2 linked regions of the Mus musculus genome follow. The protein of the gene in region 1 binds, or shares a complex with, the protein of each later gene. Links are inferred from orthologs where the notes say so. Each region holds a gene or a part of one and is shown on either strand. Other genes may lie near its edges.

Region 1 (4,175 bases):
CAGCAACCACATGGTGGCTCACAACCATCTGCAATGAGATCTGATGCACTCTTCTGGTGTGTCTGAAGTGTACTCATATATAATAATAAATAAATCTTCAAACAAAAAAAAAGTGATAACAATAAACCAAGGAAAAAATTTTAGGGTACGGTAACATCCTTAATTCCCCCACTTGAGAGGCAGGGGCAGGCAGTAGTTACTTAGACCCTCAAAAAATTTATACTTAAGGTAACACATCCTTAATTCCCCCACTTGAGAGGCAGGGGCAGGCAGTTGTTACTTAGACCCTCAAAAAATTTATACTTCTATAATTACATATTCACGCATATGTATTCCATGGTAGAACACTTGCCCAATGTCTTCACAACTGTACCAGGCAAGTGGCTACTTCCTGCAGGAGTGCTCTGCGAACAGTTTGCTAAAGATCAGAGCCTATAAACAATGGTCCAGAAGCCTCTTGTTCGCCAGAATGTCACCCTGTCAGGAGCACAGGCAGTCTTCCAGGATAAGCCAGTTCCTGGGGTACCTGGAACCCACACTCACCCACACAGAACCAGATCACTAAAATACAAGGAAACTTTTATTTTCAGTTCTCATCAAGAAATTTGCTGTGGTTTTTTATGCTTTTGGTTCTTTTTCTTTTTTTTTTTTTTTCCAACTTTATTTAGCTGCTCAGTGGCTGGAGCCGCTGGGTTCCTGGTATTAAAAAGATGCCAACAGAGGTAGCTGTGTCTCGCCCAGGGGCCCGGCCCACTCTGAATACCCCCCAAAAAGGAGAAAACACAAAGTAAACCAACAAAATAAAACCAAAAAGAGGAAGAAATTCAGATCATTTTCTTCGAGCCTGGCAGAATCCACAACAGTTTGTAACAGGCGCACGGTGGGGAGAAGCCAGGGTCCAGAAGGCAGCCAGCCCGCCAGCTCCTGCACATGGCGGGCGGGCGCTGCGCTACTGCTGCTTGTCTCTCCAGCAGGAAGGGCACCATTGCTTCTCCCTCCCTCCCTGCCCCACTGCGCAGGGCTGTTCCTTTACAACTCAGAAGATGGGCAGAAGGAAGGCAAGGGTCTCTCTGGCCCCCAGGGGCAGCCGGGACAAGAGAAAGTGAGGAAGGTCACTGCTGAGTGGTGGAGGTGGATATCACTCTGGGTCTTTCACTGCTGCTGGGCTACCTGCTGTGGGGGAGGTTCTGGCGCCCTGTTTGCCAGGCGGCTGAGAATGTTCCGCTCTGACATCTGTAACCTCACAGCGACTGGGGGGATGCGGGCAATGGTGGCTGGGAGCCGCGTCACATCAGCTTTCATGTCACTCAACAGTTCCTCCAGCTGTTTCAGGACTGCAGAGGGAAAAAGAAAGAAAGAGGCCGTGAGCTGTGGTAGTCAAGGGCACAGCTGTGGCCCACAGGGCTGGTTGTCACGCTGGCATACACAGGATACGCTCTTGACACTCGCTTTACCTGGCCTGCCCACCCAGCTATTCCTCCCATTCTAGTTGCAAGTGGCTCTGGTCTCACATGTTGTCCAGGATGGCCTGAGACTTGAGCTCAGGTCCTGCTGTGTCTCTTGAGTCCCTGTGACTCTAGGCATCGGCCATCCACAGCTGGCGGATTCTTGTTTTTAAGAGCCACCAAACTTTAGTTCATTATTCCTTCTCACTATTGTCTCCATTTTCTTTTTCTTTCTTTCTTTTTTTTTTTTTTTTTTTTTTTTTTTTATATAAAAGGTTGGCTTCAAACTTCCTATGCAGCCAAGCATGAGCACATCTCATCGTGCTCCCGCCTCCAAGTGCTCCCAAGTTGGGAGCACAGCAAATGCCCACAGAGTTTTTATTCTCAGCCTTGGGCTCCTCCACTTGAGAGGCTCAGTTCCTACCATCTCCTCTCTGCATCCACACCTTTTTATATCCCCAATGTCCCCGGCTACCTTTATGACACCCACCTTTTCATTTCACCCCCCCCCCATAAAGCTATGCTCAAAATCTCAATAGACTTAAGAGTTCAAAGAAAATCGCTGTCCTCGATTGCCTGCAAAGAAAATCCCCTCAGCTCACATCCTAAGGTTCCACACAGGCTCGGCAGACAGTTTGGAAATAAGCTGTTTATGGATGTTGGGGAGGGGAGAGTGGAGGGGGAGGTGGAAGGAGCAGGAGGCAGGGGAGCCACTGGCGACCTTTGTGTAGGACTGCATTGGCCGGCTTATTCCCTGCCATCGACTCCTTGGACAGGTGCTGGTGACTTTCTGCCAAACACTCCACCTCAGCGAAGCGGGTGTTAAGGGCCATAGACGGGTGAGAGGGGTCCTCGGACATGTTCAGGTAAGCTGCCCTGCGAAGCTGCTCCTCGATCACCAGGGCTTGTTCTAAGAGCTGCACACGGAGAAAGAAGACAGGGGTTGGACTGATGGCCACGTTCTCACTGACAGATTCATCTCTTCCTCCAGCTAGCAAGAATCTGTAAAGAAATGCCGGCCCCTCCACACTGTTCCTCACCCACGGACTTCAACAGGCCAGCACCTCCTACCCACTGGAGTCCACATTTCTCTCTCTCTCTCTCTCTCTTTTTTTTTTTTTTTTTTTTTTGTTTTTTGAGACAGAGTTTCTCTGTGTAGCCCTGGCTGTCCTGGAACTCACTTTGTAGACCAGGCTGGCCTTGAACTCAGAAATCTGCCTGCCTCTGTCTCCCAAGTGCTAGAATTAAAGGCATGTGCCACCACGCCCGGCTGGAGTCCACATTTTTAACACTGTATTTTATGTATGAGTATGCAGGACCTCTGGAAGAGGAACCAGTGTTCTTAACTACTGAGCATCTCTCCAGCCCTGGAGGTCCACACTTTTTAGATTCTCAGAGAAATCGTAAGGACTCAACTTAGAAAACATACAATTTATATAGAATTATGGACTGGCAAGATGGCTCAGAGAGTAAAGGCCGTGCAGCAAAGCCTAAGCACCTGCATTTGATGCCCAGAACCACATGGGGCAAGAACACCAACTACTGCCGGGCATGGTACGCCTCTAATCCCAGCACTTGGGAGGCAGAGACAGGCGGATTTCTGAGTTTGAGGCCAGCCTGGTCTACAAAGTGAGTTCCAGGACAGCCAGGGCTTCACAGAGAAACCTTGTCTCAAAACAAAAACAAAAACCAAACCAAACCAAAACCAAAACCAAAACCAAAAAAAAGAACACTAACTACCACAAGTTGTCCTCTGACCTCTTACACAGGCTCGTGCAGCCCAAGCCTCAGACTCACAGCTGTAAGTACATAACGCCACAGATAATCATTCCTGCGAAGCATGTTAGTATTTTGTTAATTTTTTCCAATTTTTTCTATGTATACAACTTTTACATGACAAGAGTCACATTATATTCATGACCATATATCTGAAATACATACTAGATATTCCTTTTGTCCTTCAAAACCATGGGAGTGACAGGTATAATTTTGACTCTCAAATACCTGGGAACAGCTGGAGCTGTAGGCAAAATCCAAAAACCACTACTAACAAAAGTAGTTGTTATTTGAGGCAGCATCTGAGTCTGTAGCTCTGTGTAGCCTGAAACTCACTTGTAGACCAGGCTGGCCTCAAACTGGCTAGAATCCACTTATCCAACTGCTAGGATTAAAGGAAAAATGTTTTTTTTTTTTTAAGAGACAGGGTTTCTCTGTGTAACAGAGCCCTGGCCATCCTGAAACTGGATTTGCAGACCAGGTTAGCCTTGAACTAACTCAGAGATTCACCTGCCTCTGCCTCCTGAGTGGTAGGACTAAAGGCATGCACCATTACACCCAGCTTTTTCTTAATAGTGGCATAGTCACCTGGCCTATGGAATCAATCAGGTTATCTGGGTTTCTTTAAAAAAATAAAATGCAGTCTCAAAAACCCAACGCTGTCGGGCAGTTGTGGCACATGCCTTTAATCCTAGCACCTGGGAGGGAGAGGCAGGCAATTTCTGAGTTCTAGGCCAGCCTGGTCTACAAAGTGAGTTCCAGGAAAGCCAGGGCTGCACAGAGAAACCCAGTCTTGAAAAAACAAAAAACAAAACCAACAAACAAACCCAACGCTGGCCTTGAACTCACAATGTGGCCAAGTAACAACTTTAAATTCCTGTTCTTCCTGCCTGTGAGATCCTATGTGCTGATTACAGGCAGGCACCACATGCTGCTTTATGAGGTGTGCTGGCT
Region 2 (3,564 bases), on another chromosome or scaffold:
ATACCAGACTGGCCTCTAACTCACCCACCTGCCTCAGTCACCATGCCAAGTTCCCACCCACTGATTCTTACTGTGGTGCCCCGAGCAGCCCCTTCAAGTTGGGTAGGGGTCTTCAGTCCCCCGTATTTCTTCCAATAAATCCAACAGGAAGCACAAAGTCGGCACTGCATGTTAGGGGGTCCCCAGGCATACCACTGGGCAGACTGTGTGGCTACAAGAGTAGAGAGAGAAGGGAAATTTGCTGGCAGGAAATATGCCACCCAAGATCCTCAAATTCCCAGGACAGAGAATAAGCCACCCTAGGACCACCTATCCCCAGCAACCCTGTCCCCCCTTGGAACTCACTGTGGCAGCTCTCACAAGTCAGGCCCTTCTGGAATCCAGCCCCATTCATGCCAGGTTTTGAACCCACAGAAATGATCTGGTTAGGGTTTGGCTTGGTACTAATGAACGAAACAAGAGGAGAAGACAGAAGCTAGTTAAGAAAACAACCCACTTGTGTCTCTCTTACCACCACTTTACTTTCTATTTCCGACTCTCTGGAGTTCTGGGGATTAAGCCTACAGCCTTGTGCATACTAAGCCCATGCTTCTCACTGAGCTACAGCTTCTACAATTGCTTCTGCTTCCTGGTTACCCCCAATCATTAAGGAAGACACCATCTCCCTTTCTGCCACACTTACTAAGTGGGGATGTAGACCTGTTTCAGTTTGCTGTCTGCTTCAGCAGCTTTCAATCTTTTCTGTAAGAAGGAGAAAAACAGAAAGAAATTCAGAGCATCTCAGTACAAATTGAAATCAAACAAAAGAAACAGCAGAGAGGTAAGCAGATAGCCTCTGGTCCAGCCTCCCAGCCAGCCTGACCCATACCTGCTGAATATACCGGTCTGTGGTTTTCCACATGTAATAAAACTGGACTATGCTTGCAAGTGACTTCCAGGGTAGCTAAAAAGAACAGCAAACAGGATGAGATGGCATGTGATCCTAGCTCCATCGTCGTTCTCCCTCCTCCTAGTCCTGTTCACTTACAAAGTCCTGGCGGATATCATTGAAATCCTTCCCGTACTTCTCCAGAGCCTCTTCAAACAGCATGGCTTCAGAAGCAGACCATTCCTCCATCTCATCCCGACAGAGCACCGGGCCTCCCTGTGGTACTAGGGTTGACATAGCCTTGGCCAAGTCATAGCCATTCCTTTGCAAGGTATCCATGGCATGGAACTACCAAAAATATAGAACAAAGCTAAGGACTTGCTACTCTTTAAGCACCTTCTTCAGGACTCCCGCCCTCCTCTCCTGCCTCAACACGCCCAACTATCTATCAGCTGGCACTTACCAGAGTGATATCTCGGGACGCAGCAGCTGCACTCATGTGCAAGCTTGGCTGCCGAATTGAGCTGCTGCAGTCTAGGGCTCTCGCGAAGGTTCCCACAGCTCTAAAGAGAGATTGAGAAGTCAAGAAGGGTTCTCCCCTTCAAAATTCAAGCAGGTTCAGGAACTAATTAGAAAAAGAAAATGCCCAGGCCTAAAACAAAGCCCACTTTAAAAAAAAAAAAAAAGAAAGAAAGAAAGAGAGAGAGAGAGAGAGAGAGAGAGAGAGAGAAAGAAAGAAAGAAAGAAAGAAAGAAAGAAAGAAAGAAAGAAAGAAAGAAAGAAATTGGATGAGACGCAGAACTCAGTCCATTCCTCCCCAGCCCACCTTCCTGATCCACCCACCCTCACCGGGCCACCACGAGAAACTGATCAATCTGCCGGTCTGTGAGAGGGTTGTCTGGGTCCCAGACTTTCATCTCCATCTTCTGTTGGTTTCGATTATCTGATTCTCCTGAGGAAACAACAGAATCACCACGGAGGGAGAGAGGGAAATAACTCATAGTCACTCACAATGGCTCTTTTTCCTCTGCTCTGCTTGGAGTCTATCAGACCTCAGAACTCCCCTCCCAGCTGTGCCCACTTGTCTCTCTCATGTTCCTAAGTCTCACCCTGTCAGAGCCACAACACAACACCTAGCAGATTCCACACTGGTACCCCAAATCAAGCTATCAACAGAAACTTTCATGTTCAAGCACTTCTTGTTCTGTTGCTTACCCTCTGCCAAACGATCTGGGATCTCAGCTTGGAATTTGCAACCAACTCTGATCTCCCCTTGATCAGCCAGAAGTGTCTTCTGCACAGGATCAAACACCAGTGAGTAAAAAAAGCAGTCCTGAAGAGGAAGAGAGGAGGTTAGTGGGAAGGAATCTGCATGGACAGTAAGGTCTCTCCAGACACAGACACACACAGACACACAGACACACACACACACACACACACACGGCTGTGAGGTCCGTGGCCCCTTTACCACCTCACTTGCCTTTAGGGGCAACATTCTCTCACCTCCCTCTTATCCCAACAGCTCCTCACCTCCTTGTCTAGATACTGGTTTAAGATGTCTGTCTCGTTCAAGAGAGTCACGCTGCACTTCCCCCTAAGAAAAAGGACAAACCCAAAAGTCCTGGATGAGCAGCCCTCCTTACCTGCCATCTCCAATACACCACCCCCTTCTCTCCATCTTCTAAACAAGGGCACATAGACCACAGTGACCCTGATCGTCCTATACCTTATGTGGGTGGCTGGTAATGATTCAAACTGCCGAGAAAGAAAAAGCTCTCGGTGCTTCAGTTGATGTCTCTGCTGCTCGGAGACCCCTGGCTGTTTTGATTCCTCCTCAAACTCCCCTAGAATAGTGAGGAAAAACCAAGTCATAAACTAATTCAGAAACAGGTACCTTAGCCAGCTAGCTAGTCTGGTAAAGGAGAGCCTACCTCAGCTGCTGCCCAGCACTGCTTTCCTCGGGCAGCTCACTCTTATCCTACCAGCCCCCCCTTTCGGCCTTACACCTCAGTGTAGATGTTCCATCCTCTCTTTAATTCCGTCAAAGGAATTATCCCATCCTTATACTGTGAGAGTATAAGGATACCACAGAAATGCACCCAACCCTAGCTGCCAACACGCAGAAAGCACAAACAGAGCCATAATACAGTGTGACATCATATTTAGCTCTTTCTTGCACAACCAGTCCGAGGTCCTAAAATCCAGTTAAGAAGAAGTAAAAATAGCACACATGGTCGCTGTTTATTTACCAGCTCCTCTTCATACTTCAGGACTCCTTGCTGTGTCTGAAACATCACATGCAACCTAATGCTCCTTCTCTTTCTACTTGGCTAATAATAGTTTGTGGGCTTTCAAGAAGGGCAACTCTGAAACCAGTGCCAACACCTTCCTCACCAAGAGGCACCAAGAGGCCTGCACTGAAATCTCCGTAGAAACAGTTAACCTGGCTAAGTGCCAACCAAAGTAGAAGACAGAAACCTCAGGCACATGCTCATCGGTGCATTGTTCCCCTGAAAAATGGGGGTACAGATTTGGGGTGGGGGTGTCCGTGTCTCTCTGTGCTCTAGGAAAACCCAGAGGTAGGGCAAAAAGAACCACACCCCTACCCCTTCTGATTGGATAAGGCCAAGGTCAGCCCCTGCCAGATGGAGCCGGAAACCCCAAAGGGCCAGGAAACTTGGTAGGCCCAGTTCATT

The links.
Region 2: Chd4 (region 1) and Mta2 share a complex: the UniProt entries of both Homo sapiens proteins name them as parts of the nucleosome remodeling and deacetylase (NuRD) repressor complex. The link is inferred for Mus musculus from reciprocal best matches to the Homo sapiens genes CHD4 and MTA2.

Annotation. Positions count from the first base shown.
Region 1 is NC_000072.6:125,126,979-125,131,153, reverse strand, and holds the end of Chd4 (chromodomain-helicase-DNA-binding protein 4), read right to left. Parts: intron 2,363-4,175; coding exon 2,167-2,362; coding exon of another isoform or gene 2,164-2,166; intron 1,335-2,163; coding exon 1,153-1,334; 3' UTR 563-1,152; downstream 1-562. UniProt on the Homo sapiens protein: ATP-dependent chromatin-remodeling factor that binds and distorts nucleosomal DNA. Acts as a component of the histone deacetylase NuRD complex which participates in the remodeling of chromatin.
Region 2 is NC_000085.6:8,944,904-8,948,467, reverse strand, and holds part of Mta2 (metastasis-associated protein MTA2), read right to left. Parts: intron 2,713-3,564; coding exon 2,595-2,712; intron 2,463-2,594; coding exon 2,399-2,462; intron 2,202-2,398; coding exon 2,084-2,201; intron 1,821-2,083; coding exon 1,718-1,820; intron 1,432-1,717; coding exon 1,332-1,431; intron 1,217-1,331; coding exon 1,028-1,216; intron 944-1,027; coding exon 869-943; intron 742-868; coding exon 683-741; intron 444-682; coding exon 346-443; intron 212-345; coding exon 72-211; intron 1-71. UniProt on the Homo sapiens protein: May function as a transcriptional coregulator. Acts as a component of the histone deacetylase NuRD complex which participates in the remodeling of chromatin.